Pelodiscus sinensis: one gene and its partners. The protein of the gene in region 1 binds, or shares a complex with, the protein of each later gene. Links are inferred from orthologs where the notes say so. Each region holds a gene or a part of one and is shown in the gene's direction. Other genes may lie near its edges. The genes, in order: STX5, VAMP7, STX7 and STX18.

The links.
Region 2: STX5 (region 1) and VAMP7 share a complex: the UniProt entries of both Homo sapiens proteins name them as parts of the SNARE complex. The link is inferred for Pelodiscus sinensis from reciprocal best matches to the Homo sapiens genes STX5 and VAMP7.
Region 3: STX5 (region 1) and STX7 share a complex: the UniProt entries of both Homo sapiens proteins name them as parts of the SNARE complex. The link is inferred for Pelodiscus sinensis from reciprocal best matches to the Homo sapiens genes STX5 and STX7.
Region 4: STX5 (region 1) and STX18 share a complex: the UniProt entries of both Homo sapiens proteins name them as parts of the SNARE complex. The link is inferred for Pelodiscus sinensis from reciprocal best matches to the Homo sapiens genes STX5 and STX18.

What each region holds. Positions count from the first base shown.
Region 1 is NC_134721.1:36,452,220-36,459,651, reverse strand, and holds the start of STX5 (syntaxin-5), read left to right. Parts: upstream 1-4,422; 5' UTR 4,423-4,634; intron 4,635-5,055; exon of another isoform or gene 5,056-5,411; intron 5,412-5,450; exon of another isoform or gene 5,451-5,911; intron 5,912-6,066; 5' UTR 6,067-6,085; coding exon 6,086-6,277; intron 6,278-6,375; coding exon 6,376-6,446; intron 6,447-6,727; coding exon 6,728-6,783; intron 6,784-7,113; coding exon 7,114-7,184; intron 7,185-7,382; coding exon 7,383-7,432. UniProt on the Homo sapiens protein: Mediates endoplasmic reticulum to Golgi transport.
Region 2 is NC_134723.1:279,403-286,266, reverse strand, and holds the start of VAMP7 (vesicle-associated membrane protein 7), read left to right. Parts: upstream 1-3,850; 5' UTR 3,851-4,009; intron 4,010-6,864. Other genes in the region: DNA-directed RNA polymerases I and III subunit RPAC2-like, read right to left, coding at 79-117. UniProt on the Homo sapiens protein: Involved in the targeting and/or fusion of transport vesicles to their target membrane during transport of proteins from the early endosome to the lysosome. Required for heterotypic fusion of late endosomes with lysosomes and homotypic lysosomal fusion.
Region 3 is NC_134713.1:94,319,164-94,327,138, reverse strand, and holds the start of STX7 (syntaxin-7), read left to right. Parts: upstream 1-4,966; 5' UTR 4,967-5,123; intron 5,124-7,975. UniProt on the Homo sapiens protein: May be involved in protein trafficking from the plasma membrane to the early endosome (EE) as well as in homotypic fusion of endocytic organelles. Mediates the endocytic trafficking from early endosomes to late endosomes and lysosomes.
Region 4 is NC_134715.1:110,695,907-110,703,336, reverse strand, and holds the start of STX18 (syntaxin-18), read left to right. Parts: upstream 1-4,422; 5' UTR 4,423-4,549; coding exon 4,550-4,711; intron 4,712-7,430. UniProt on the Homo sapiens protein: Syntaxin that may be involved in targeting and fusion of Golgi-derived retrograde transport vesicles with the ER.

The sequences.
Region 1 (7,432 bases):
TGTATACTGTAAAAGGGGTAAAAACAGAGGTGAAAGTAAGCAGGTGCACCCTGGCGTACAGCTCTGGCAAGAGCTGGCTGAGCTGTGGCACAAGCCTGAAGGGAGCTATTTAAAGAGCTGGCAGGGGCCCGAGTTGCAATAGGACTATACCTGTAAGAAATTTTAAGTTACTTTCACTTCTGAGTAAAATAAAAAAAGATTTATTTCATTAAAATCCTGTATCAGCTCCAAAGAGGAGCCAGAATAGGTTGTGTTTTCTTTTTCAGATGGCTGTGTACTTTGGAAACAGAAGCAAACCCAGAATCAAGGAAGATCAGTAAATATAAGAAACTAAGCTTAACCATTCAAAATACGTCCAATAGTTTTTTGTTTAACCATGGTATAAAGAAAATGTTATCAAGGGAGTACAAACCTACGTGGCAGTGTTTTATAAAAATAGAAAAAGAATAATTCTACTAAAGCTAATTGTATACAAGATTAAAATGCCTTAAAATAAAAATCCAAATAATGATTTAGGGCTAAATCTATTAAGAAGATATTGTATAATAATGGGTAACTTATTCATGCACTAATTTTACTGAATTTCACTGTCACTGCAATTTGGTAAAAAATGGCTACAGATCATTAAAAGGACTTTACAGACAATAATTTAAACTTTAAAATGCTTAAACCCGCCAAGATGGGACAGCAGCAAAACTGAAGGGAACTAATAAAATTGGCAAACTAAACTAAACTATTTGGGATTGGTATGTCACTTTGAAACCAAGCTCACATAGAGTGGCTGTGGGAATATGAGCAAGCATTTTAACAGAAGTTAGCAGCAGAAGGATTGCATCCACTAAATGAGGAAGTGTTTTCAACAAGTTAGTACCTAGAATATTGTATTTTCAAAATTAACAAAGCAAAGAATTTATTGACAAAAAAGCATTGAATTGTTTCATAGGCATGATGTGGTCATTTTTTGTACATGCACATGATAAAATTAATTTGCTACCAGGAAAGATCAAAAACAATAACACTAATAATATACTATAAATACATGCTATATAAAGTGAAAGCATCCTTAAATGACAGAAGAAAGAAGATTGCCCTCTTTTAGCACCACAGAAAAGTTAAAGATTTGGTACAAGGGAGGCAATTATAATAGGTGCAAGGCAAGAAAGGAACAAGATTACAATACCATAAAGTTTGTGAAAAAAGAAAGCCTTGACCAAAGTGTTACCAGTGTGAGTACTGGAAAGTACTGTGACACATATGCATGGCTACGTCTACACTGGCGGCTTCTTGCGCAAGAACAGCTGTTCTTGTGCAAAAACTTGCTGGGTGTCTACACAGTACACACGTTCTTGCGCAAGTAAATTTACAGTACAGCGTCAGAAAACAGGGCTTCTTCCGGAAGAGTTATTCTTCTCCCCACGAGGAATAAGCCCTCTTGTGCAAGAGCTCTTGCACAAGAGGGCAGTGTAGACAGGCGACATGAATTTCTTGTGCAAGAAACCCCTATGGCTAAAATGGCAGAAGACCATATGGCCATAGACTGCCATAGACGCTCTTGCGCAAAAGCACGTCTCTTGTGCCAAAGCACATGCCAGTGTAGATGCGCTCTTGTGGAAGACTTTTTGCGCAAGAACTCTTCCGCAAAACAGTTCTTGCGCAAGAAGCTGCCAGTGTAGATGTAGCCATGGTGTTGCATGGTAGTGACAAGATCTGGGTTTGCGCCTGAGGACCTTTCATGGGTGGGTGTAATGTCTTACTGTCACAGCTGCCAGCCTGTAGGTTCACTCTGAGGAAGCAGTCTCCAAACCACTCAGTATGGCTGAGACACTGGGAAGCTGGTGAAGTAAAAAGTGCCTATGTTGCTAATGGCCAGTATCGTGTGGTGACGGGAAAGGGCCATTTCTACTATGGACACAGAGGATGCTATTTGAATTGGCTTATGTTCTATTTCACACCTGAATTTCCAGTGGTGATAAATGGAAAGATTTATATATTTTATACTAGTTTTGTATAATATAATTGAAACATAGGCAAAGATAAAATTGCAGAAGCATGTTTTAAAGGCAGAGCAAGCTTATAGGCTATGTCTACACTCGCGGCTTCTTGTGCGAGTAATATGCAAATGAGGCTAAGCGTGGCATATCGCCAAGCCTCATTTGCATACCTAATGAGCCATTTTTTTCAGAAGAGGCTCTTGCGCAAGAAGGAGCGTCTACACTGCCCCTTCTTGCGCAAGAAAAACCCTCTTGCGCAATGCTGTTCTTCCTGAAAAGTAATAGGTGTAATGGCTCCTTCTTGCGGAAGAGCCTCTTCTGAAAAAAATGGTGGCTCATTAGATATGCAAATGAGGCTCGGCAATATTCCATGCTTAGCCTCATTTGCATATTACTTGCGCAAGAAGCCGCGAGTGTAGACATAGCCATAGTGTGGAATTACATCCATAGTAAAGGTGGTTATTTTAACGGTTTGGTAATTACATTATTGTGATAATTATTCTGTTAATTCTATATTGCAAAGTTTGGCAGTTGGATACCATTTTCCAAAATTGTAGAAGTATGTTTGAAATGCTTTAATGTAGTAAAACCCACATAGTATGTTGGATTTCAAAGTGGGGAATGTAGAATAAATAAAAATTAGGAAATTAAAGTTAGCTTACATTCAGCTGAAGAAAGATGTGTGTTGTAAAGAAAGGCCACAAAAGTAATTAGTTACAGGGCCAGAAGCGATGAAGTAGGGCGGATGCCTGGTTCAAAGAATAACTAATGAAATGAAAGGATATTTCTGAAGAGAAGGCCTCTGACTGGGAGGGGTGATGGCAGATAGTTTTAAATAAAACAAAGAGATTCTGTTTTAGCATGAGCCAACATAGCCCTTCCCACCGCACCAACCAATGTTGTTATAAAAATTAAGAGCCCCGTGTGAACCCAGGAGCAAACAGGTGAAACTAAGCAGATGCACCCTGGTGCATAGCTCTAGCAAGAGCTGGCTGAGCTGTAGCAAAAGCTAGCAGGGAGCTATTTAAAGAGCTGGCGGGGACCTGGGTTACAATAGGACAGTACCTGTAGACATTTTTAATTTACTTTCACGGTTGGACACAAAGGAAAAACTGTTGATAAGCAGGAAGGAGGGAAAAGAGGTTGTAAACATTGTCTGGATTAAACCAGGGAATAAAGATGACCTGTCTCCAATTGGTTTTAACTGTAGTCTGTACCTGGCTTCCAGACATCACTTGTTTGTTAAAAGGTTATCTCAAAGTTTTGTGCATTGCCAATATACTGTCTGGCCATGTTGAAGCTGACTGGTACCCCCTTGGTTTAGATCATTTGTAAGTTTCTTGATCAAATATTTATGAATGTTTTGTTTTTGTCTAGATGTGGCAAATTGCTTATTATTTAGGCCTTGTAGGTATGTTTTGAGCAATTGTATAAATATTATTTGGCTTTTGGATTTAATAAAGGAATTAATGGTTAAATCAGTGTCATGATAATATCTGTATAAATAATCCCAAGCAGAGGGATGGCTGGGCAGTCTGGTCAACATGCTGATAGTCTACACTCCTCCTTTGCAGACAGCAAGCGCAGGCCTAGGTGCAAGCAGCTGCGGATCGCGGACTCTGCCCCAGCGGTGCGTTCCTCGGACAGCCTCAAGATCCGGATCATTTGGAGACGCGTCTCCATCTTTGGCAACCGGCGTGATTCCATACGGAGCACCAAGAGCGCTACCTCAGTCACTGCGCTGCCGGAGCCCAGCGAGTCTGACCCCGAGAACAGCCCTCTGAAGGCTGGGCCCCCGCCCCACGACAGCTGCCTTGCAACTAACAGAGATGGGGAATAAACATAACTTTCACAGCTGTGTCTGGGCTGGGCCTTCTGCCCTGGACAGTACTGGGGACCAGGCCCCCATGTTGGGGGCCTATAGGGGCAGGCTTGGGGAGCAGGCCCCCATGTTGAGGGAGGCTGTAAGGGAGAAGGTCCCCACAGAAGGGGGGCTGTAGCGGCACTAGGAGAGTGGTGAAGCACTGGAATGGGTTACCTAGGGAAGTAGTGGAGTCTCCATCTCTAGAGGTGTTTAAGTCTCGGCTTGACAAAGCCCTGGCCGGGTTGATTTAGTTGGGATTGGTCCTGCCTAGAGCAGGGGGGTGGACTTGATGACCTTCTGAGGTCTCTTCCAGCTCTATGGTTTTATGATGGGGGGCAGGCCCCCATGTTGGGGGGGCTGAAGGGGCAGGGTTGCAGAGCAGGCCCCCATGTTGGGGGAGGCTGTAAGGGAGAAGGCCCCCACAGCAGGGGTAGCTGTTGCTGTAGGGTTGGGAATCACGGCAGGGGGGGCTGTAGGGGCAGGGTTGGGGGGGTAGGACCGTAGTCCCTGCGGAGTGTGTTTGAGGAGCCCAGCTCCGAATGGGCCGTTTGGGGCCTGGCCCGGGCCCGTGACCCGGCCAGGCCGCCGAGCCGAGGTCACCAGGGATCAGAAAGTTCGCGGATAATCGCGGCCCCTTTAAACTCTCGCTCCCCTGGGGAGGGGGCGGGGCACGTATGTGCGTGGCGCGTTGACGTGTTACGCGAGGTGTACGTGGCAGTGACGTAGTTCCCGGCCGGTGGGGTCTAGGTTGCAACGACCAAAGCTAGATTCGCGTCTCGGTGAGTCGCGGGGCGGAGTCGGGGTCTCGCCGGTAGGGGTGGGCCCAGCTTGGGCAGTCCCCGGACCTCTCTCCTCCCCGGGGCCCCGCGTCTCTCCCTCCCTCCCTCCCTCCCTCCGCTTTGGGCCCCCGGAGGGGCGGCGAGTCCCCCCCGCGCCCCTCCGGGCTCCTCATGTTCTCCCGCTTGGGTCGCCTGCCCCGTCTCCCCTTGCAGGGCCTGTCCCCGGCGGGTCCTTACAGCCTTTGCCCTGCGCCTCCTGCCCGCACTCCCTGCTCTGGGCCCGGGGCTTAAAGCGGGCGGGGGGCAGGTTCCCTTGGGCTCTGCCCCCCTGCCGTTATTTGCTCTTCAGTGCAAGTCAGCCCCCCCCCCCCCCCCCCGTCCGCGCGCTTCTTTCCCCGCCTCTGTTCAGTGGGCTTAGCGACTCTGAGCGCTGCGCAGAAGCGGGGTTGTGGGGCAGCTCTCACCAGAAACTCAATAGGCAGATCGTGGGCCAAGTCTGCGCCCCCAGATGTTTTTAAATAAGTCACAAAGTCTTGTTATCATTGTGGTGGTGGTGGCGGCGTGAAAAATGTTTCTCTGGAGAGTGGACCTTGACTATACCTTGATCAAGAAATTTAGACCTTCACCAAAAAAATTGGACCCTACAGGGAATGGATAGAGGGACCTAAGTGCCTTCATGGTTATTTACCCCCAGTCCTGCCTCCACTTGTGTGTATCTCTGATCCTAATTACCTGGTTCAGACACTGACTCCAACAGCCAGGATCCCTGCTTGGTGGGTAAGGAGCTTCCGGGGTATTGGAACAATTTGTACAGAGTGCATCTTGAGAGCCACTGAACCAAATTGTAAACCCTTCCTAGGATGGAAAACCACTTCAAGGCAGGGGGATGCAGCTGTACCCTTAGCAGTGCTAGTTTGTGCACCTCTGGGAGCTGCTAATGTCTGTCACCAAATAGTCTTGTTTGTCTGGACTTGGTTGAGGCTGCTCTGGTGGAGACTGGAACTCACTGAAATCTGGGACATGGTGGGATTGATTCCTCTAGGAGGCTTCTGCAGTGGGGCAGGGGGTCTCTTCCTGCTGACATGCCTGGCTCTTCCCTTGCACAGTGGGCACCACAAAGCAGACTCCTCTCTGAACTGCAGATGAATTGCAGAGGAAGCCTTTACATATATCTCTGAGCTCTGGGAGCCTTGACCCCCATTTGGATTTTGCATCAGGAGCTGCTTCTGAATGGGGCAGGCAAGAGTGCCTTGGAACTGCCTGGCCTCTTTGCTGTGGTGAGGAGAGATGAGTGGGACTGGGCAGGTGATGTGATAGTGAGTGTGCTTGAGAAGAGAGGGAGGAAGAAAGGGTTAATGGGGACTGGTGAAGGGTGGAGTTTGGTCCTTAGCTATTAACCAAGCCCCTGAACCCGTGGCCTCCCCTCCCCTAGCACCAGGTTATGAGCCTCAATGACTACGAGAAAACGCCACGGCTCTAAGAACACGCATCAGGGCGTTTATCTGGGACCTTCGCAGACACAGGAGCTGTCCCCATCTGCTACCACAACTGTTGCCTCATCCCTGCCCTTTCCGGACACCATGTCGTGCCGCGATCGCACCCAGGAGTTCCTCTCTGCCTGCAAGTCCTTGCAGAGCAGACAGGTGAGTCTTCATTTCCTGGGGGTGTCAGGCCCATTCCTTGCTAGTGTGGGGGATTCTCTGCTCCAGAACACCTCAGTTCAGTCTGTCTCTCCTTTCAGAATGGGCTGCAGCCGAACAAACCAACCCTGAATGCCATGCGCCAGAGGAGTGAATTCACTGTCATAGCCAAGTGAGTGGGGTGAGGGCTGGACTAGCCAAGATCTGGGGAGGGAGCTCAGCAGCTGGATAACCTGGGAGTATGTTGGGCTGACTCAGGATCAGTGTGCCGGGAAGGGATCTTGTGGGATGGCTATAGGCTGGTTTGCCTGGGTTGGGGCTGAGAGGGGTTTCTCCTTGGGATCAGAGCTGAGCTAAGGAGGAAGTGCTCTACTGATGATTTAGTCAGCAGGCCCCAACTGAGGAAGCACAGATCCCACCCTTACTCTGGTCTCCTGTTCTGTTTCCTCCCAGGCGCATCGGCAAAGATCTCAGCAACACTTTTGCCAAGCTGGAGAAGCTGACCATCTGTGAGTGGCCGGGGAGGGGAGGAGGGAGGGAGGGAGAGGGTGAGGGCTGTCTGGGGTATGGGCTCCTTCATGGAGGGGCTGCTGATAGCACTTGGGGTTAACATGGCTTCTTGCTTTTTTTATAGCCATTGTGAACTGGAGATTCTCACTCAGTTGGGATGGGCTTTGTGGCTGCTATGGAGCAACAAGGGAGGGTAATTGATGCTGGGCCTGAATGGGGGAGTAGTTCTGACCCTGGGGGCCATGATAAAGCAGGGCACTTGTGGTAGAGGAAAGGAATCCCTGTCAGGCCTCATAGGACACTCCCTGACCATACCCCTCTGTCCTCAGTGGCCAAACGGAAGTCCCTGTTTGATGACAAGGCAGTGGAGATAGAGGAGCTGACATATATCATTAAACAGGTTAGTGGGAGCAGGGCTAGCATCTCCTGGTGGCTGGGAGAGATGGCCTCTTTATTTGGAAGGTGGGATGGGGTGGGCAGGAACAAAAGGAGCTGGAGCCTATGAACAGCAGCCTCAGCTGGGTGGGAGCCTAAGGGCCACTGGGACCAGGTGGGGGTGTGGGCCACAACTGAGACTGGAGCAATTTCCCTCCCCCAGGACATCAACAGCCTGAACAAGCAGATTGCCCAGCTGCAGGAGTTTGTGCG
Region 2 (6,864 bases), on another chromosome or scaffold:
ACCACGTGGCCACCAGCCTGAACCCCCCGGCGCGTCCCGCATCCAGCCGGGCAGCCCCGGCCCGGCCGCGACACTCACCAGCTCCAGCGCCGGCTTCCCCTGCGCCTCCTCGGCCATGGCTGCCTGGCGGGGGCCGGGCTCTGCTGGGGATTCTGGGACGGGTAGTCCTAGCCCGGCCGGCGGGCTTCGGGCATCCCCGCGCTGCCCGCTGGGAATCTCCGCTCCTGGGCATCTCGTGAGGCGGGTTTCCCGCGGGACAGCTCGTGCCCCGATAAACACGCGGGTCTCTACGGCAGCGCAGGGCTGCTCCTTGCGGTCTCGGTTTGTTCTAGTTCGTCATGCCCCAGCGCCAAGGGGTGTGTAATTGCCCGCCAATGTCAGCTTCCAGTGCCTCGCCCTCTCTTGAAGAGACGCTTGCAAATATGACCTGAGTGCAGCCAAAAGGTTCAAAATGTGTTAAAAGTAATGAATCAAGACCCCTCCCCCTAAAATCTTGAGATTGGCTGAAAAATCATGAAATTTCAAAATAATAAAGTTGGATTTCTTTTTGTTTGCTTTCTGGGGCTGGTACGTGTATGGGTCACAATTTAGAGCTCTTCTCTGCACCCAAAAGAGCCAAAAATTTACCTTTTTTTAACAAATGAAAGCTGAAATGTTCAGGAAAGAATCTGATTCCATAACCTGAGGTGCTAACATAGCCACCAAATATTGTGCCACTCACAGGAAAATTGCAAGGAGTGGTGATATTGAAAACCAGAAAAAAAGAGCTCCAAATGTGCTATTATAAATCTTCAAACCAAACCAAAAAAAGTGATTTTGTGAATTGAGTTTTTTAAATCAGTCTCATAATTTGGAGGGGCCTGGCTCAAGTTTGAACTCTTGGGGTTGGTAACACTGCTGCTGTCCCATGTTAATTCCACTCAGAGGCATTCATAGGAGCTAGCCAAGGTTTAGTATGACACTGGCTACTGGTGAGAGGTGCAGTGAGAGCAGGATTAGGAAATGAAGAGATGTAAAAATTACAGAGTAATTTACGTTTAAAGGACAGTACCTCACCAAGCTATGTTCTTGGCACCTAACTATGCATTTTCATCACTAGGGTATGTCTACACCAGCCACCCTAGTTCAAACTAGAGTGGCTAATGTAGTCATTTGTACTTGCAAATGAAGCCCGGGATTTAAATATCCCAGCTTTCATCTGCATGTTCCCGGGCGCCACCATTTTTAAATGCCCGGTAGTTGGTGTCATTGGTCCAACACAGTTCTCCATGTACCTTGTCATGATCCTGATTCTCATCCATGACTACCTTCCTGATGGCACCAGGATTGAGTATCATATGGATGGTCAACTCCTCAATCTCCAATATCTCCAAACACAATCTAAGATTAAAAGAAATGGCATCACTAATCAGTATGCAGGTGACTGTCATTCTTGCACACGCAGAAGCCAATCTGCAAAGCACTCTACATCTTTTTGCAGTTATCTATCACACCCTGGGTCTGTCTCTCTACATTGGGAAAACAAAGGTATCCCATCAGCCCTCCCCTGCACAAACTACTCTTCATACTCCACAAATCACCGTCAGCGGAGAACCTCTGGAAAATGTGGATCGTTTTCTGTACCTTGGCAGCCACCTCTTCCAAACAGCTGGTACTGACACAGAAATTGAATACAGGTTCTGCTGTGTCAGCACATCTTTTGGAAGACTACGCAAATTTAAATTAAATATGGGTAGGGGTTGGTTATCTACAAACAGGTAAGATCTTGGTTTACAAAGCAGTTTGTAGGAAACCTTGGTATTCTACAAACATCCCACATGACTGGAATGGTTCCAGCAGTGCTGCCTCAGGAACATTCTCAGATTCTGCTGAGAAGCCAAATGCACTAATGTCAGTGTTCTCTAGCCAACATCAGCAGCATAGAAACACGGGTCATGATATACTGGCCACTCTGAATACGCCTATCACTCACCTCCTCAAACCATAGTAATAGAGATGTAGCCGTATTAGTCTGGTCTTGCTGAAACAAAAGACAGGACTATGCAGCACTTGAAAGACTAACAGAATGGTTTATTAGGTGATGAGCTTTTGTGGGCCCACGAAAGCTCATCTCCTAATAAACCATCTTGTTAGTCTTTAAAGTGCTGCCTAGTCCTGTCTTTTGCTCCTGAAACAAGTATCCTTCTCTCAATTAAATTGAGGAAGAAGGGCTTATAGAGGGAAGCAGAAGCATTTCAAAGATATATTGAAAGTACATGTTAAAAAGGGATGCATTAACCCAACAAATTGAAATGACTCGGTGTGAAACACAGAACACCATGCACCAAGCCAAAGCTTGCTTTGGGAAGAACAGATGTACTCTTGAGAGAAAAGTGACAAAGGAAGAAAGAAAGGCCATGACAGCGCAGCCAACAGCTGTGTCTTCTCCACAGTTACACCTGTCACTTCTCCAAGGTTATACCAGGGAATGCTGCAGGCAGACATCATCCTTGCACAGAGGGCTAGTCAGAGAAAAAGATGAGCTGAGCATGACTGGTGCTGAAATATGGGGCAGATTCAGAAGAGGCGAACAGTGTCCTACTACACCTCTGGCAGACAGCATTGTGTGAGATGCTACAGTACCAGGGCTGCCCACCTCAAAACAAGAGGCTGTGAATCTCCATCACACTGTGCAGGCCTGTTCTCAGGGGCGAGGTAGAGCAGAAGGTCTGACAGACATTTGGGGAACATGCTGCTGCTTGCTGGCCAGTGCAGCGCAGGGAGCTGGAAGTGATGGGAGTCTGCATTGAACTCAGTTGTGACTGTGACTTTCAGTCTGGATTGAACTCAGCTGTGACTGTGACTTTCAGTCTGGATTGAACTCAGCTGTGACTGTGACTTTCAGTCTGCATTGAACTCAGTTGTGACTGTGACTTTCAGTCCGGATTGAACTCAGTTGTGACTGTGACTTTCAGTCTGCATTGAACTCAGTTGTGACTGTGACTTTCAGTCCGGATTGAACTCAGTTGTGACTGTGACTTTCAGTCTGCATTGAACTCAGTTGTGACTGTGACTTTCAGTCTGCATTGAACTCAGTTGTGACTGTGACTTTCAGTCCGGATTGAACTCAGTTGTGACTGTGACTTTCAGTCTGCATTGAACTCAGTTGTGACTGTGACTTTCAGTCTGGATTGAACTCAGCTGTGACTGTGACTTTCAGTCTGCATTGAACTCAGTTGTGACTGTGACTTTCAGTCCGGATTGAACTCAGTTGTGACTGTGACTTTCAGTCTGCATTGAACTCAGTTGTGACTGTGACTTTCAGTCCGGATTGAACTCAGTTGTGACTGTGACTTTCAGTCTGGATTGAACTCAGTTGTGACTGGGACTTTCAGTCCGGATTGAACTCAGTTGTGACTGTGACTTTCAGTCTGGATTGAACTCAGTTGTGACTGTGACTCAGTCTGGATTGAACTCAGTTGTGACTGTGACTTTCAGTCTGGATTGAACTCAGTTGTGACTGTGACTTTCAGTCTGGATTGAACTCAGTTGTGACTGTGACTCAGTCTGGATTGAACTCAGTTGTGACTGTGACTTTCAGTCTGGATTGAACTCAGTTGTGACTGTGACTTTCAGTCTGGATGCCCTGTGGCGCGTTATGGCCACAGGACAGTGACTTCGAATTGGAGTCTGGCTGCGATTGGCGGCTGCGGGTGAGTCTCCCCAGAAGGCGCGTGACAGCTCAACAGCTGGAGCAGCCATGCTCTCCGAGCTCGCCTCAGAACTACACTACCCAGCATGCAGAGCGGCAGGGGGGGGGGGCTTCCCAACGTACAGCGCGGCTCGGGCGAAGTGGCTCCGCCCCGCGCAAGTGACTACATTTCCCGTGAGGCTCGGCGGCCACGGGCGCGTCCTCGGCGGAAGTGCACGTGCTCGCGGAGCGGAGGCCGGGGCCAGCGATAGGAGGAGGCAGGTGAAGAGCGCGCGGGGCTGGAGACTCCCCCTGCCCGAGAGCGAGGCCGCGGCGCAGGTGAGAGGGGGCGGGGCGGGGTGGGGCGGGGGCAGGGTTGGTATGGGGGGGGTAGGAGGAAGCTGGACGAGGGGGGGCAGGGTTGGTATGGGGGGGTAGGAGGAAGCTGGACGAGGGGGGGCAGGGTTGGTATGGGGGGGTAGGAGGAAGCTGGATGAGGGGGGGCGGGGTTGGTATGGGGGGGTAGGAGGAAGCTGGATGAGGGGGGGCAGGGTTGGTATGGGGGGGCAGGAGGAAGCTGGATGAGGGGGGGCGGGGTTGGTATGGGGGGGTAGGAGGAAGCTGGATGAGGGGGGGCAGGGTTGGTATGGGGGGGTAGGAGGAAGCTGGATGAGGGGGGGCAGGGTTGGTATGGGGGGGTAGGAGGAAGCTGGATGAGGGGGGGCGGGGTTGGTATGGGGGGGTAGGAGGAAGCTGGATGAGGGGGGGCAGGGTTGGTATGGGGGGGTAGGAGGAAGCTGGATGAGGGGGGGCGGGGTTGGTATGGGGGGTAGGAGGAAGCTGGATGAGGGGGGGCAGGGGTGGTATGGGGGGGGTAGGAGGAAGCTGGACGAGGGGGGGCAGGGTTGGTATGGGGGGGTAGGAGGAAGCTGGATGAGGGGGGGCAGGGTTGGTATGGGGGGGTAGGAGGAAGCTGGACGAGGGGGGGCAGGGTTGGTATGGGGGGGTAGGAGGAAGCTGGACGAGGGGGGGCAGGGTTGGTATGGGGGGGTAGGAGGAAGCTGGATGAGGGGGGGCAGGGTTGGTATGGGGGGGTAGGAGGAAGCTGGATGAGGGGGGGCGGGGTTGGTATGGGGGGGGTAGGAGGAAGCTGGATGAGGGGGGGCAGGGTTGGTATGGGGGGGTAGGAGGAAGCTGGATGAGGTGGGGCAGGGTTGGTATGGGGGGGTAGGAGGAAGCTGGACGAGGGGGGGGCAGGGTTGGTATGGGGGGTAGGAGGAAGCTGGATGAGGGGGGGCAGGGTTGGTATGGGGGGGTAGGAGGAAGCTGGACGAGGGGGGGCGGGGTTGGTATGGGGGGGTAGGAGGAAGCTGGACGAGGGGGGGCGGGGTTGGTATGGGGGGGTAGGAGGAAGCTGGACGAGGGGGGGCAGGGTTGGTATGGGGGGGCAGGAGGAAGCTGGATGAGGGGGGCGGGGTTGGTATGGGGGGGTAGGAGGAAGCTGGACGAGGGGGGGCAGGGTTGGTATGGGGGGTAGGAGGAAGCTGGACGAGGGGGGGCAGGGTTGGTATGGGGGGGTAGGAGGAAGCTGGACGAGGGGGGGCAGGGTTGGTATGGGGGGGTAGGAGGAAGCTGGACGAGGGGGGGCAGGGTTGGTATGGGGGGGTAGGAGGAAGCTGGATGAGGGGGGGCAGGGGTGGTATGGGGGGGGGTAGGAGGAAGCTGGATGAGGTGGGGCAGGGTTGGTATGGGGGGGTAGGAGGAAGCTGAATGAGGTGGGGCAGGGTTGGTATGGGGGGGCAGGAGGAAGCTGGACGAGGGGGGGCAGGGGTGGTATGGGGGGGCAGGAGGAAGCTGGATGAGGGGGGCGGGGTTGGTATGGGGGGGTAGGAGGAAGCTGGACGAGGGGGGGCAGGGTTGGTATGGGGGGTAGGAGGAAGCTGGACGAGGGGGGGCAGGGTTGGTATGGGGGGGTAGGAGGAAGCTGGACGAGGGGGGGCAGGGTTGGTATGGGGGGTAGGAGGAAGCTGGATGAGGGGGGCGGGGTTGGTATGGGGGGGTAGGAGGAAGCTGGACGAGGGGGGGCAGGGTTGGTATGGGGGGTAGGAGGAAGCTGGACGAGGGGGGGCAGGGTTGGTATGGGGGGGTAGGAGGAAGCTGGACGAGGGGGGGCAGGGTTGGTATGGGGGGGTAGGAGGAAGCTGGACGAGGGGGGGCAGGGTTGGTATGGGGGGGTAGGAGGAAGCTGGACGAGGGGGGGCAGGGTTGGTATGGGGGGTAGGAGGAAGCTGGACGAGGGGGGGCAGGGTTGGTATGGGGGGGTAGGAGGAAGCTGGACGAGGGGGGGCAGGGTTGGTATGGGGGGGTAGGAGGAAGCTGGACGAGGGGGGGCAGGGTTGGTATGGGGGGGTAGGAGGAAGCTGGACGAGGGGGGGCAGGGTTGGTATGGGGGGGTAGGAGGAAGCTGGACGAGGGGGGGCAGGGTTGGTATGGGGGGGTAGGAGGAAGCTGGACGAGGGGGGGCAGGGTTGGTATGGGGGGGTAGGAGGAAGCTGGACGAGGTGGGGCAGGGTTGGTATGGGGGGGTAGGAGGAAGCTGGACGAGGGGGGGCAGGGTTGGTATGGGGGGGTAGGAGGAAGCTGGATGAGGTGGGGCAGGGTTGGTATGGGGGGGTAGGAGGAAGCTGGACGAGGTGGGGCAGGGTTGGTATGGGGGGGTAGGAGGAAGCTGGACGAGGGGGGGCGGGGTTGGTATGGGGGGGTAGGAGGAAGCTGGACGAGGTGGGGCGGGGTTGGTATGGGGGGGTAGGAGGAAGCTGGACGAGGTGGGGCGGGGTTGGTATGGGGGGGTAGGAGGAAGCTGGACGAGGGGGGGCAGGGTTGGTATGGGGGGGTAGGAGGAAGCTGGACGAGGGGGGGCAGGGTTGGTATGGGGGGTAGGAGGAAGCTGGATGAGGGCCGGGGGCAGGGGTGTTACTGGGGGTAGGAGGAAGCTGGATGAGGGGGGGCAGGGGTGGTATGGGGGGGCTAGGAGGAAGCTGGACGAGGGGGGGCAGGGGTGGTATGGGGGGGTAGGAGGAAGCTGGATGAGGGGGGGCAGGGTTGGTATGGGGGGTAGGAGGAAGCTGGACGAGGGGGGGCAGGGTTGGTATGGGGGGTAGGAGGAAGCTGGATGAGGGCCGGGGATAGGGGTG
Region 3 (7,975 bases), on another chromosome or scaffold:
CTGTGCACTGTCTAGAATACTCATTCTTTTAGGATGCTGTAAAAAACACACCTGTTTGTGTTGCCTTTCCCATGAGGAAGAGAAATACGGAATGGTCAGGAGCATGAATTTCAAAGATGCTGAGTACCCACACCTCCCACTGACTTCAGTAAGAAATTTGGGGGGCAGTGCCTCTGAAAATGAGCCCCACCTTGGTTGTTTGCCTTGCTCCCTTTAGTTTTCCTCTTCCAAATACAGGCAGTCCCCAGGTTACGCGGATCCAACTTACGTCGGATCCGCACTTACGAACGGGGCTTATCTTGCCCTGGAGGACGCGGGCGGCAGGACCGCCCAGACGCACTGCGGTCCCGCCACCCACGTCCTCCGGGGTGAGAAAAGCTGCTCCGCGTCTCCCTGGTCTGCTGGGGGGAGCCCAGCAGACCAGGGAGACGCGGGCGGCGGGACCGAGATGCGCCATGGTCCCGCCGCTCCGGTCCTCCGTGTCTCCCTGGTCTGCTGGGGCGGGGGAGTGCAGCTAGTGCGCCCCCTCCCCCCCCCCCCCCAGCAGACCAGGCTTTTCTCGGGATGCCTGTGGTAGAGCAGTTGGGGCACTGCCGGTTGGTCCCGCAGCGCCGCTCTCGGCGCTACTGGACCAACCCGGCAGCACCCCAGCTGCTCTGCCCCAGGCGTCCTGATTCAGCCGCTGCTGGTCAGTTTCAGCAGCGGCTGAATCAGGACGCCTGGGGCAGAACAGCTTGGAGCAACCCAGCAGCACCCCAGATGCTCTGCCCCAGGCGTCCCCAAGTCAGCCACTGCTGAAACTGACCAGCGCTGACTACAGGAAGCCCGAGGCAGAGTTGCTCTGCCCCAGGCTTCTTGGAATCAGCCGCTGATCAGTTTCAGCAGCAGCTGACTTGGGGACGCCTGGGGTTCTTAAGTTGAATCTGTATGTAAGTCGGAACTGGTGTCCAGATTCAGCCGCTGTTGAAACTGATCAGCGGCTGATTCCAGGAAGCCCGGGGCAGAGCAGCTCTGCCTCTGGCTTCCTGTAGTCAGCCGCTGGTCAGTTTCAGCAGTGGCTGAATTTGGACGCCAGTTCCAACTTACATACAGATTCAATTTAAGAACAAACCTACAGTCCCTATCTTGTACGTAACCCAGGGACTGCCTGTATGGGCACATGAACCTGATTTTGACCCACAAGAAGCAGAGCAGATGCTCCCTAATCAAATGTTTATTTAACCCTGAATTTAACACTCAAATACTTTGAAGATGGAAGCTATAGAAATAAATAGCTGAGATAATCTGTCAGAAAATACTGATCAGAAGCATTTCCTTTTCCCTTTTCTTGGGCCAACTGGATCTGTTTTGTGATCTGCCTCTCCTTCCATTCTGTAACATCCTTGTGGCCACAACTATTGCTTACTTGGAAGAATAATATTAGGTAAATATTTAATGTATTTGTATCTGTCTTGTAACATAGAAAAGCTGCTGGAGGCAAGGAGGAGAATACAGTAACAGTGCATACCAAGAAAATCTCCAGGGGCCATCAAAATCCTGCACAACACTGTTTGGGAACTTCTGCCTTATTTCATAAGTGTCATACATTTCTATCAGAAGACATGAAATGCAGACAGAGGTATCCATATGTTGCAAATCAAAGTGAACTGCTCCCTAAGTTACAAAGTGTCTGCTCTGAACAAGACATTTTTTATCAGAAATACAAATCCAAAACAAAATGCTCATATATATATATATATATATATATATATATATATATATATATATATATATATATATTTGTATATTGCTTTGACAGAAGAAATGTATTATGATCTCATCTGAGTCCATGTAAATCTAGAATGACTGTACTGAAAGCACTGAAGTCATATTGGTGTAAAACCAATGAGAGATCATATTCAAGCTCACGATCTTCAGCTAGCAGAGGAGAGTAGTGTAACGTCACTATTTTGCCATCTAGTGGTAAATACTGGGTTATCCAAAATATACTACAACTGTAAGGAAAATAAAGTAATACAAACAGTATTAAAATAATTGCCAATCAGAATGAAATATTAAACCCAAAATGAGCATGCATACAGAATGTATGTAGCATATGATAGCATAAATGTCCAGGAGTGCCATTTTTATTACTTTTTATGTATAAAAGTCACAGCACCTTTGCTTGCACAACAGAATTCCAAATAGCTAGAGCATGAAGAACTCACCTAAATCCTACCAATCTACTTTGTTCCACCTCTCTAGCATGCTTTAACACAATGAGGGGCAACCTCGGGTAGTGAGTGGACTGCACAAGTGGCCCTCCTTCACCTCAGTGGGCTGCAAGAATATTGTAACTAAGACGGTCTCCCAGGATAGGGTAGTTTTGCTAACTGTGCTTACCTACCTAGCATTTGCAAGGTGTGCTGTTTGAACTGTAACAACACTTTGATTGGATACAGAAAGCACACAGGTCTCACAATGTTGTGTGCAATCAGCACATACTTCACTTCACATGCACTTGCTTTAAGTATGTGTCACTTTTTAAATATTGGTAGAAAAAAACACTCAGCAGATGAAAAGCAGTGTAATCCGGCAATCCTGTGCATGAGCAACAGTAAACAAAACGTCTCATGGGCCACTCACAGAACCACAATGGGCCACATGAGTCCCTTAGGTTGCTCACTGCTGCTTTAGTAGCTATAACTAAATACTATCAATGGCTACGTCTACACTGGCATGAATTTCCGAAAATGCTTTTAACGGAAAAGTTTTCCGTTAACAGCATTTTTGGAAAAGCGCGTCTAGATTGGCAGGATGCTTTTCTGCAAAAGCACTTTTTGCGGAAAAGCGTCTGTGGCCAAACTAGACGCGGTTTTCCGCAAAAAAGCCCCGATCGCCTTTTTCACGATCGGGGCTTTTTTGCGGAAAAGAGTACTATGCTGTCTACATTGGCCCTTTTGCGCAAAAGTCTTTCGGAAAAAGACTTTTGCCTGAACGGGAGCAGCATAGTTTTTCTGGAAAAGCACTGATGATTTTACATGAGATCGTCAGTGCTTTTCCGGAAATTCAAGCGGACAGTGTAGACAGCTGGCAAGTTTTTCTGCAAAAGCAGATGATTTTGAGGAAAAACTTGCCAGTCTAGACACAGCCAATTTATTTAAATTAACTGAAGAGAGGGCACCATGTCTGTAATAATCAACCAGATGGAAAAGTTATGTGGAACGAGTATTGATATCAAAACGTTAGCAAATAGTTTTTGTCTGGGTTTTTCTTTTTCTTCTAAGTTGTTTTAACTTTTCACTGTTATTGTATTATGGTAGCAGCTAAAACCTCCAAGCAAAGCTCCACAGTGCTACACAGCTAAAACAAACACATAACAAAAACAGTCTGTTTCCTAAAGAGCTCACAGGTTAAGTAACTTTTATGCATCTCTGCCATATTTATATAAGCATATATTTGGAATTAGAAGGGTTTTGTTTTGTTTTTCTACAAAGAACATTGGACTCCAATTTCAGACTTCGAATGAACACTTTCTCAAAATTAAAAAGCCAGTGAGAAGATTCTTGATATCCACAATAATAAAGTTGTAGAACTGCCTAGAAGCCAAAGATGACTGGGAATAGAAGACATCTATAGTGGGTGGAAACAACTATCATTAAACATTGAAAAGACAGAAGTGGGTGGAGCTGTGAACTGCTCCTCTTCTAATTACCAGACTCCAGGACTGAGGCTGTACAGTTCCCAACTTCCTGCTCTGCAGTTGCAGGTTCACAGTATGTTAGAGGAGGACTGCATGGCTGAAACTGTGACTATCCACCTGCTTTCTGAGGGAACAGAGTCCAGCTGTAGAAAAAGATTCCAAAACTGGAGACTCTGCTCACCAATTGAGAGCAAGAATGTGTATGTGTAGAAGCTGAGTTCTCTTAGGCTCAAGCCCATTCTGTAGTGGAGGGTCTGTGGGTGAGAATGCGGCCAGGCTCCTCTGTGTCCAGTTAGAATCTAGAGCATTATTCCTCAGGAAGACAAAGGAGCTGGATCTTCTACCTGTTCGCCTGCATTTTTAACCTGATTTTGAGGTCTCGGAGAGCATTGCTACACTATGGAGAAGACTGACCCTCGGGAGGTCAATTTAATGTTCAAGTTAGCAGGTCTAGCGTAGATTCCCAAATTGAACGCTGAAGGCAGCCCCCACCGGGGTCAGGGAAGCTGGTGGGAGTGTGTGCTCCCACCAGCCTCCTGCAGTGTAGACGCTGCAGTGGCTCAGTTTAAGATAAGCTGATCCCAGCTAGCATTTCGTGTAGCTGGATGGAGTACCTTAAGCCAATCTGCCTGGTCTAGTGCACTCAGGGCCTAAGATAGTTGGGGGCTGGCTCTTCTCTTCCTTTCCTCCTGGGCACTAGCTCAATTAGGAGCTCTTTAATCATCTGAAATTAAAAAAAAAATCCTACAAAGAGGGGAAACATGGCTGAATAGTTAAGGAAGAAAGGATAGTACAAGCATGGCAAAACAAAATCAGACAGGGTAAGGCACAAAAGGGGTTACATGTAGCAAGGGGCATACACAAGGCAATACAATGAGAGGCTTGACATACATCGGGAGCAAGAGAAAGATGAAGGAAACTATAGGTCACGTGCTTAACAAGGAAGGCGAGCTAATAACTGAGGGCATCCAGATACGTGAGGCGCTGAATGCTCAGACCCAGTCCATAGCCAACATCTTGGCTGCAGAAGATTCGCCAGGAGCTGAGCTTGCAGGGCTGAGCGCTAGGCTCTGAGCGGCAGCAGCTCCGCGAGGCAGAAACGCTCGGGCCGTTGAAGGAGTAAGAGATCCGGAGCGACTAGGCTCCCACCCCTGCAGCGGGCTCCCTTAATGACGCCTGACTGGAGAGGCTCCCGCTTTGCGCGCTCAGGGGGCCGCCCGGAGGCTGCAGGCGGCGGCGCGCCGGGCTCAGCCCGCTAGGGGGCGGGAAGGCAGCTGCTTGCCGCGTCACTGGGCCCAGGCGAAGGGGCGGGGCCGGCGAGCTCAGCCCCGCCTCCTCTCCCCGGGACTCTTCTGCTGCAGCCGGAGCCGCCGCTCAGCTGAGCGGTGCCGTGCGGCGTCCTGAGCCCGGCTGTGCTGGGAGGCGGAGCCGCTGGGGCCTGGTAAGAGGCGCTGGGGGTGCAGCGGCGCCCAGGGGAGTCGCTGCGCTCGCTTGTCTTTCCGGGGGTGCCCCCGGGGGGTGCCGCCCTGCTCCCGGGCGGCTCCAGCTTCCCCGCGGCAAGGGGGCGGGCAGCAGCGGGGGCCGCCCTGCCCGCGTGGTGGGGGGCGGCGTGCGGGTGCGGCACAGCTCCCAGCCCCGCTGGCGAGAGGGGAGGGGCAGGGCAGACGCGGCGGCTGCCCACGGGAAGGGATCGGTTCCGCATTCCCGCGGCCCATCGCCGCCGAGCTGCAGCCCGTCCCTGCGCCCGGCTGCACCCGCGGCTGGCTGGAGAGCGGGTAGCCCTCGCCCGTCGGGGGCACACGCCCGCCCTGCTTCCCACCTCCTTGGACTGTTTCCCCAGAGCCAAGAGCGACTCGTGCACCCCAAGAGGGTTGTGCGAGAGCCGAGTCTGGGTGGAGGCAGTGTTTGTCATGTGCGGGTGTGCCCTTGTGCTTCGTGCTCCCACAGAGGGAGGGTTAACGCTCAGGAAGGAAACGCCTCCCTCCCGCCCCTTCTGTCTTCCTTTGCAGCCCTGCAGTTGTTGCAGTGTCAAAGAATTGCAGCATTTCTTTCTCCTGACACTGAGCAAAGAATTTCTTGGAGCAGTGATACCCCCAAACTGTTATTGTATATATCCCTCTTTAGGGATTGTCTACCTGGACACGTAGAGGGTGTAGAGGGTGCCTTCACTATGCGTAGGCAACGATCAATCCAGCAGGGGTAGATTTTTTTTTTTTTTACACTATAAATTGATGCTGAGTGCTCACCTGTTGACTCCAGTATGCCACCAGAATGAGAAGCGTAGGTGGGGTAGATATGAGTTCAACTTACTGTGGTGAGCATACAACAATAAGTAGATCTAGGTATGTCGCTGTCAGCTACGTTATGTTTATGTAGCTGAAGTTGCACAGCTTGGATCCATGGCCTGCTGTAGGGTAGATAGATTGGGCCCTAGTTTGCAGCAAGTTGAGACATAAGCTTGTCTTGCATTAAGAGACTACTGTGTGCTGCCAGGCACTCATGGGTTCCTTGTCTACTTCCATTTCAAAGTGGGATAGAGCAAAGTGCAGAGCTGAGTTTTTGATATGCTGCTGTTTGACAAGCAGGTATTGTAGAGCTTTTGGGAAGTTGCTGGACTGCCTGTGTGCAGAAAGTTAGTGTATGAAAACCTGAAAGTGTGAATCCTTGATCTTTTTTTGTGCTCGTTATCACATCCACTACTTCACTGTTTTAAAGCATGTGTATATATGTTTGTGTAAATAAGTTAATGTGCCCTCTGAGTCTGCTGAGTCTGCTATCACGTAGCTACATGCAACATAACAAAAATGTTTGTTTTTACATGTGGCTCTTGAATACATTAGTAGATTCTAATGCTGGAAGTGACCCAATTGTGATCACCTAGAAATCAACACACCCCATAGAATTTCCCCAAAATAATCCCTAGAACATACAGTATCTTGTAAATTTAGAAAAACATCCAGTCTTGAGTTTTAGATTGTTAAAGATGACCTTTGATAAACTGTTCCAGTTGTAATTACTCAGTGTTAATGTATGCTTTATTTCCTGTCTGAATGTTTCCACCTTCAACTTCTAACCATTGAATTAAATTGCTCTCTTTACTTGAATGAGGATCCTATTATTAAATACTTGTTTCTCCATGTAAGTACTGAAACTGTAACCGGGTCGTCCTTTACTCTTGATAAACTCCTTGAAAGGAGTTCTAAGTACGGTAGGCGTACTCTAGTCCCTTAATGCTACCCTGAAAAGTAAGAACCCTTAAACAAGTGGTCCTGTAGCACTTTAGAAATTAACCCCAAAAAAAGTATCATGAGCTTTTGTGAGCACAACGCTCTTTTTCAGATGAGTGGAGCTAGAGGGGGGGGGTTCCAACCTGGGGCAGAGGATTGGGGTGCAGGAGAAGGAGTAGGGTATGAGCTCCAGCCAGGCAGTCCTTACTTCTGGGCAGCAGCACAGCAGGACTCAGGCAGGCTCCTTACTTTTCCTGATTCCGTGTGCCTCCCAGAAGCGGCTGCCATGTTCTGCTCCTAGGTGGCGGAGCTAGAGAGCTCTGTGTGCTTCCTGTGCCCACAGGTACTGCCCCCATAGCTCTCCTTAGATGCAGTTTTTGCTCAGTGGGAGCTGCGGAGCTGGCACTGAGGATGAGGGCAGTGCACACAGCTTCCCTGATAGCTCCTAAGGGCCGCAGAGACATGCCAGCCGCTTCCAGGAGATGCAGAGAGCCAGGACAGGTATGCAGCCTGCCTTACCTCCTGTGCCATTAACTAGACTTTTATGGCCTGGTCAGCAGTAAGGATGTAAAATCCTGTTTAATTGGTTAAATGCTTAAATGTGATGCTTAACGGGTTAAAGGGGTGGGGAGCAGGGAGGCCAAAAGAACTCATCTTAATTCTATTTTCTGATATTTCTTACAAACTAAAATGCATCACAAATCAAGGCTGGGCAACAGTTTTTGATGTGGGGCTGTTCCTAAGAATTTGGTAAGTGGTCAAGTGCTGCACTCCTAATATTAAGGGAGGAGGTGCAGGGTATGGAATGGAGGTTGGATGAGGGTAGGTGAGTGGGGCATAGGATCTGGGAGAGGGCATGGTTGCAGGAGGGCATTATAACATGGAGGTGGCAGTGCAGGATCTAGGAGAGGCTTGTGACCTGGGACAAGGGTGCAGGAGGGGAGTGTAAGGATTTGGGTTGTGACTTAGGGCAAGGGGAAGGGCTGTGACCTGGGGCAGGTGAGGGGGGAGGGGAGACGTGGTCTGGGAGAGAGACGTATGCAGGATCAGGGGGGCAGAAGGTATG
Region 4 (7,430 bases), on another chromosome or scaffold:
TTACCTACAATTCCACTGATTACTGGGCTCTTAAAAGATATTTAGAGCTAAATAACAGCATACACTACTGAGAGCCAAGACTGGTGGCTGTAGTAAAACTTTATGGGACCATGGGAAACGTGGCCACAAAGATGATAAATGGACATCCAGCTAACTTAAATCATGCCAAACCACATATGTTGCCAGACCAGAGAGTGCCAGACTAGAGAGGTTCAGCCTGTATTAATTTCAGTTCTTCTGTGGCAAGTGGCAGGATTTTGAGGCCTCTGCAGAGGTTCTACTCTCTGAGGACTACCATGGGAGTTTATGGGCCAAAAGCAGGATGGGGAACTGTCGGAGAAGAGTTGTAAGTTACAATATATGTAGATCCACCAGCAATTTACACATACGTTTTTTCCCTTCCCCATGAAGGCAACTTACAGAAGTTAGTGGTGGGCTGAGACTAAAGCACCATCATAGTCTGCTGAGTGAGACTGCATTCCCCTCTATGCCTGCAACATCCTCTTGCACAAAGGCAAACTGCTTGTGCTCAATCTGGGGAGAATGAATTTTCCTCAATAATATTAAAAACAACATGTTATTTCTTAAAATTGTCTCCAGCCCTTCCATGGAGTTGCTAGTGTCATTGCTAGACAATTCAAAGTGCAATTTACTATTGCCCCCTCTTCCATCACCAGTGTCCTGTTCCAATACTACCATTGCCCCTCTGCTGAATGGTAACAGCTGTCCAGGGCCTCACAGCTCAGCTTCCCAGTGGAAGAGAAAGCATTGACATAGTAACTTGTTTTATTTACACTTATACATTAGTCATGGAACAGAGGTGGTCAAGAGATTGCATGCAACTCTTCTTTCAGGAATGTAAGCCTAACACCAGTGCCCAGTTCCAGAGGAAAAACCTACTTCAATCAACTAATCAACATGTCTCCACATGGTTGAAAAATGCAGGGGCCAATCCAAACTGGGAATAGCTACTTTTCAGCATACAGCATATGCTACTTTTCTCAGGGCTTGTCTACACTAAGTGATCTCCGAGTGCACTCCCTTTGATGCTAGTAGTCTACTAAGACGAGAAGAGTAGCTGGCATCGATGGGAGAGCAGTCTCCAACCTTACTGAATGCAAGACACCACAGGGAGAATGTCAACTTCAGCTATGCTATTTGCATAGTTGAAGTAGATTGAAGGTGCTGGTAGGTGTAGACAAGGCCTCAGGATTTTTCACACATGGAAGAGAAGTAGCTTTGGTGACCTAACCCCCACTGTAGATAGTGCTAGTTTAATGAAGAAATTCTTCTGTTCACTCTAGTTACCAACTCTTGGGAATGTGGATTATCTTGCAGACAGTGTAGATAGTGTCTACACCAGAGCAAGCGACAGACTTCACTGGGACCTCAGCAAAGTGGGAGGGGAGCTCAACTCTGGGCCCCTAGTAAAGGGCGAGGCCTTGGACAGAATTGGCAGAGTTTTCCGGGGGGGAGTAGCCTTCCCCACCCAGCCCTCAGCACCACCTGGATCATGCTGTATAGGCTCCAGATGCTATTGTCAGTGGCAGTGGCAGTCTAGAGCCGTGGGCCCTTTTAATTGTGGGCTACAGCCCCCCATGCTGCTGTTGGTGACTCTGGACTACACAGAAGCACTGCAGTTAATTTCTATAGTAGTGCACTGCAGCTGTCCACTGTAGCATTAGACATAGCCTAAGAAAAAGAACTTGGACAACAATAACACACTGTAATAGCACCACCTGGTGACACCTGCCATAATATTGTTTATAAGAACACACTGCATGAAAATACCCACCTAAGGCCAGGTCTACAGTTAAAAGTTTTACCGTTAATTTTTTTTTTTTACAACATTGTTATCCTGGCAAAAGCCCTAGTGTAGATGCAGTTATACCAGCTTTTGTTTTTGCCAAATATAGATTGTTTCAGTCATTGAACCAGAAAAAAAGAGATCCTGGCCAAAACATTTTTGTGACTATGTAACTGCATCTGCATTAGGAGGGATTGGCCAGTATTACAATACTGGCAAAATTCATATGCGTGACCCACGCTTTATTAAGTTTGGCTTGTAATGGTTAAGCGTTTACTGTAAGAAACAAAAACAGAATGCTAAGCATAAGTCCAAACTATGCTTTTGGTGAAATATATATCTTTCATGGAAGTAAAAGGAATTAGAGTGCAAAGATTCAAAGACAGATTAAGATCTCTTTTAGTAAATGCAGGAACCCTACCAATTTTTATTTTACGATTCAACTGAAGAAAAATTAGTCCTCAAACCCCAGTTTTGATAGAACTCCTTCAGGGAGCCCTGTTGATTTTAGTTTCAGTAGGGCTCACTCCTCCCCACCACAACTGTATAGGGGCCTCATTGTAGAATGAAAGGTCACTCTCTTCCCCCAGTGAGACAGTCTGCCTGTGGCATGGAGAGTGATAACCCCACGGGTACTGGAACAGAGGATCTCACTGGGGTTGGAGGGGAGACTCATACCCCTTCCCCTGCAGCAGTGAAAGATTTCCTGGAGGCTCACCCCCTGCACACTGAGGCAAAGAGGGGCTCCCCTCTCCCCCCACCACCAGGGCAGTGCAGTAAGGTAACCTTGCAGGCTCGCTGCCCCCCCCCCCCGCACACCCACCCACACTGGGCACTGCAGGCTCTCCCTGGGGGGTCCCCCCACACCGACACTGGGCACTGCAGGCTCTCCCTGGGGGGTCCCCCCACACCGACACTGGGCACTGCAGGCTCTGCTTGGGGATTCCTCTCACACCCACACTGGGCACTGGGGCCTCTCCCTGGGGGTTCCCCCCACACCCACACTGGGCACTGCAGGCTCTCCTTGGGGGTTCCCCCCACACCCACACTGGGGCACTGCAGGCTCTCCCTGGGGGCTCCCCCCACACCGACACTGGGCACTGCAGGCTCTCCTTGGGGATTCCTCTCACACCCACACTGGGCACTGGGGCCTCTCCCTGGGGGTTCCCCCCACACCCACACTGGGGCACTGCAGGCTCTCCCTGGGGGTTCCCCCCACACCCACACTGGGCACTGGGGGCTCTCCTTGGGGGTTCCCCCCACACCCACACTGGGCACTGGGGGCTCTCCTTGGGGGTTCCTCCCACACCCACACTGGGCACTGGGGGCTCTCCCTGGGGGTTCCCCCCACACCCACACTGGGCACTGGGGGCTCTCCCTGGGGGTTCCCCCCACACCCACACTGGGCACTGGGGGCTCTCCTTGGGGGTTCCTCCCACACCCACACTGGGCACTGCGGGCTCTCCCTGGGGGTTCCCTCCACACCCACACTGGGCACTGGGGGCTCTCCTTGGGGGTTCCTCCCACACCCACACTGGGCACTGCAGGCTCTCCCTGGGGGTTCCCTCCACACCCACACTGGGCACTGGGGGCTCTCCCTGGGGGTTCCCCCCACACTGGGCACTGGGGCTCTCCCTGGGGGTTCTCCCCACACTGGGCACTGGGGCTCTCCCTGGGGGTTCCCCCCACACTGGGCACTGGGGGCTCTCCTTGGGGGTTCCCTCCACACCCACACTGGGCACTGGGGCTCTCCCTGGGGGTTCCCCCCACACCCACACTGGGCACTGGGGGCTCTCCTTGGGGGTTCCCCCCACACCCACACTGGGCACTGGGGGCTCTCCTTGGGGGTTCCTCCCACACCCACACTGGGCACTGCGGGCTCTCCTTGGGGGTTCCTCCCACACCCACACTGGGCACTGGGGGCTCTCCTTGGGGGTTCCTCCCACACCCACACTGGGCACTGCAGGCTCTCCCTGGGGGTTCCCCCCACACCCACACTGGGCACTGGGGGCTCTCCCTGGGGGTTCCCCCCACACTGGGCACTGGGGCTCTCCCTGGGGGTTCTCCCCACACTGGGCACTGGGGGCTCTCCTTGGGGGTTCCCTCCACACCCACACTGGGCACTGGGGGCTCTCCTTGGGGGTTCCCTCCACACCCACACTGGGCACTGGGGCTCTCCCTGGGGGTTCCCCCCACACCCACACTGGGCACTGGGGGCTCTCCCTGGGGGTTCCCTCCACACCCACACTGGGCACTGGGGGCTCTCCTTGGGGGTTCCCTCCACACCCACACTGGGCACTGGGGCTCTCCCTGGGGGTTCCCCCCACACCCACACTGGGCACTGGGGGCTCTCCCTGGGGGTTCCCTCCACACCCACACTGGGCACTGGGGGTTCCCCCCACACCCACACTGGGCACTGCAGGCGCTCCCTGGGGGTTCCCCCCACACCCACACTGGGCACTGCAGGCGCTCCCTGGGGGTTCCCCCCACACCCACACTGGGCACTGGGGGCTCCCCTCACGCCCACACTGGGGCACTGCAGCGGGGTTTCCGCGGGGCGGGGGCCTGGGAACGTGCCAGTTGCACTTTGTGCCACCCCAGCGGCTCTGCGCTCCCTGGCGGCTCGGGGCGGCGCCGGGGCGGATAAGGCGGCGGAACCCTGCACGGCGGCCGGAGTTGTGCGGGGAGGACTGTGCGGGTGACCCACGCGGGGCCGGCGTGCGAGGCGGCAGCGGGGTCGCTATGGCCGCGGACATCACGCTGCTGTTCAAAGCCAGCGTGAAGACGGTGAAGACCCGGAACAAGGCGCTGGGGGTCCCGGTCGGCGAGAGCGGCCGGGATGAGCTGCTCAAACGGGGCAGCCAGCGGCCCAAGAGCGACTTCTCCTGCCGGGCCCGCGAGGTGGTGAGTGCGGGGGAGGGGGTGGCGTGGAGGTAATAGAGCAACTGCCCGTCTGCACAGCGAGCCCCATCTCAGCTACAGGTGCCCCGCAGCTCGGTGCCATGCAAAGCGATGGGGGGAGGGGGGAGGAGAGTCTCTTATCCCCCCCCCCCTCCGCCCCGTAGTCTTTTCCTTCGTGCACTTGGCAGCCCCCTCCCCTGCGTGTCGGTCTTTCCCCTTTACAGCCCCCGTGCATCCGCAGTGACCAGGCGGTGGCTCTGCGTGGCTGGTCGGGCTGCGGGGGGGGGGGGGGGGGGGCTTTTAAAAGTTCCCATTAAAACCAACGTGCTGGGCAAAAAAAAAAAAACCTCCCACAAACAACTGCCCGGTAGTCGTTCGTTTACTCTCGGTTGTTCGTGGGGGACTTTTACCCAGGAACAGGAGAGAAAGAACACAAAAACAAAATAATAGCCAGCAGTATGGTTTTCAAACTCAGCAATTGGTGGGGGACGCAGGAGAACCTAAAACTACTCTTGTCCTGACGCTTAAAAAAAAAACTGATCAGCTTTCAGGTTGACATATCCCTTTAAAACTAAGCCCTCCCCCAAGTGACTTGGCAGAGGTAAGGCATGTATATTGCTTATAATGACACGTAGCAGTCTCTGGTGATATTATATAGCCTCTATGCTGTATTCATTATTAGGGTTAATTCTGTTGCATGCGAGTACCAGAATTCCTCCTTTTTTGTAGCCCCTGCTCCTGCAAACATTTATGCTTGAACGTAAATTTACTCAGAAGAATAGTGACATAGTAGTTACTAGATCTATTCTTGTGACTACAGTTAAATATACTATGTGCACAATTAGGTTTTTAGAATTGGGGCCATATAACTGTTGAAGATGTATGTGTATGTTCTGTGTGCAGATAAATATTACATGCTGTACTAATACAGTGTCCTAACCATGTCATAAATTGTATTTACAATGAACTCTTGAGAGCTTTACCTGTCTTCTGTTCATTAATCTCTCTCCAGATTTTAGGCTATCATTCCAACCCATTGAACAGCTTTAATGAATTGCCACTTTTTAAAATCAACTACCAGAGATATTTTTATTGCTGGAGTTGCAGTTTTTAAAACAGTAGGCTAAATTAAATCATGATTCAAATTATGAAGCCAGTGGAGTTGTACCTCTATACACTAGAGCTAAAGTAACCTGATAGATATAAACAAAAATATATAGCCTGCAGCTATTGGAAACAAAAATATGTGTATTAGAGAATATATTAAGAAATATTGACACTTTTTCTGGAGGGTGTCAGCAGAATTGCACTTTTTGGCATAATGTCATGGGGATATTTTACTTTTGACAATATTGGTTATTTGCAGAAGAATGAATTTAGAGGTGGGAGCTAGGGATGTAATAGTGTAGTTGATTAATTAACTGATAAGCAAAAGGTTATAGGTTAATGCTATAGAAGACATGCATTTCCCTCTTTCTCTCTTCCTGCCAGTAAATTTCTGAGTCCTGGCTTGTGATGGGTCCAGGACATACCCCTACTGCGGCTCTGCATTTAATGTGTATTAGAAGCCAGCCAGGCAGGCAACCCAGTTCAGTTCTGGCTCATGCCAGGTTTGGGAGCTTAGACCCCCACTAGACAGGGGCTGCTGCCACCCTGCGCTGCTGCTTCTTTATCAGAGGCAGCAGCACGGAGCAACAGGCAGCTGGTCTGCGAGTGAAGCTTGTTTTTAAACTGACTTCCCTTGCGGACCAGTGTCTGCCTGGCACCCTTTGCTGCTACCTCTGATACAGTGGCTGCCAGGCCTGCCCCCAGGGACTGTAGAATAGTTGACTAACTGATAAGAATTCATGAGGTTACTCGACTACAGGGCATCCTTGCTATAAGTTGCCCCAGTATATGTTGCTTCTGAGCTGGCGTCATTGATGCTTGTGGGAACTGTTCCGTTTTAAGTCCTCCCATTCTCTGTTCTGCACTAATTGGTCTTTTTTTTTAATGACGGAAACGGATGTTAGTCACAGGAAGAAAATTCCTCGCTTTACATCCCTTTGCTATACGTCTACTTTTTTTTAAATGTATCTTGGATGTACAGTGCGGATGCCCTATATTCAGTTAACCAATATTTAACATGAGAGAGCCTCTGAAATAAATATTCTAATTAGAAGTAGTAATGATCCTTTTTATTCAGTTATTTATGCACTGAGACTTTGCAATCTAGCATAGGTGGTAACATTATTTAAATTAAAATCTGATTTAAAGACTATTATGTTAATTTAAAATAATTAATAAAGTTACAGTGGCAATTTGACTTTATCAGAACTGGAAGCTTGTCTCAGGAAATCTCTCATCTTGAATCACTTAAACCTGTAGTCATAAGCACAAGAAAACTTCATATTCCAGGCTTCTGGGCAATAGCATGAGTGCATTCTAGGCAAGTGGAACTGTCAGATATCCTGATAGAAATGTAGCCGTGTTAGTCTGGTGTAGCTGAAACAAAATACAGGTCTATGTAGCACTTTAAAGACTAACAAGATGGTTTATTAGATGATGAGCTTTCGTGGGCCAGACCCACTATTTGATCTGAGGAAGTGGGTCTGTCCCACAAAAGCTCATCATCTAATAAACCATCTTGTTAGTCTTTAAAGTGCTACATAGTCCTGTATTTTGTGTCAGATATCCTGTCTGCCAAACAAGTACAATGGGGTTGACTGGTAGTGGATGCCTA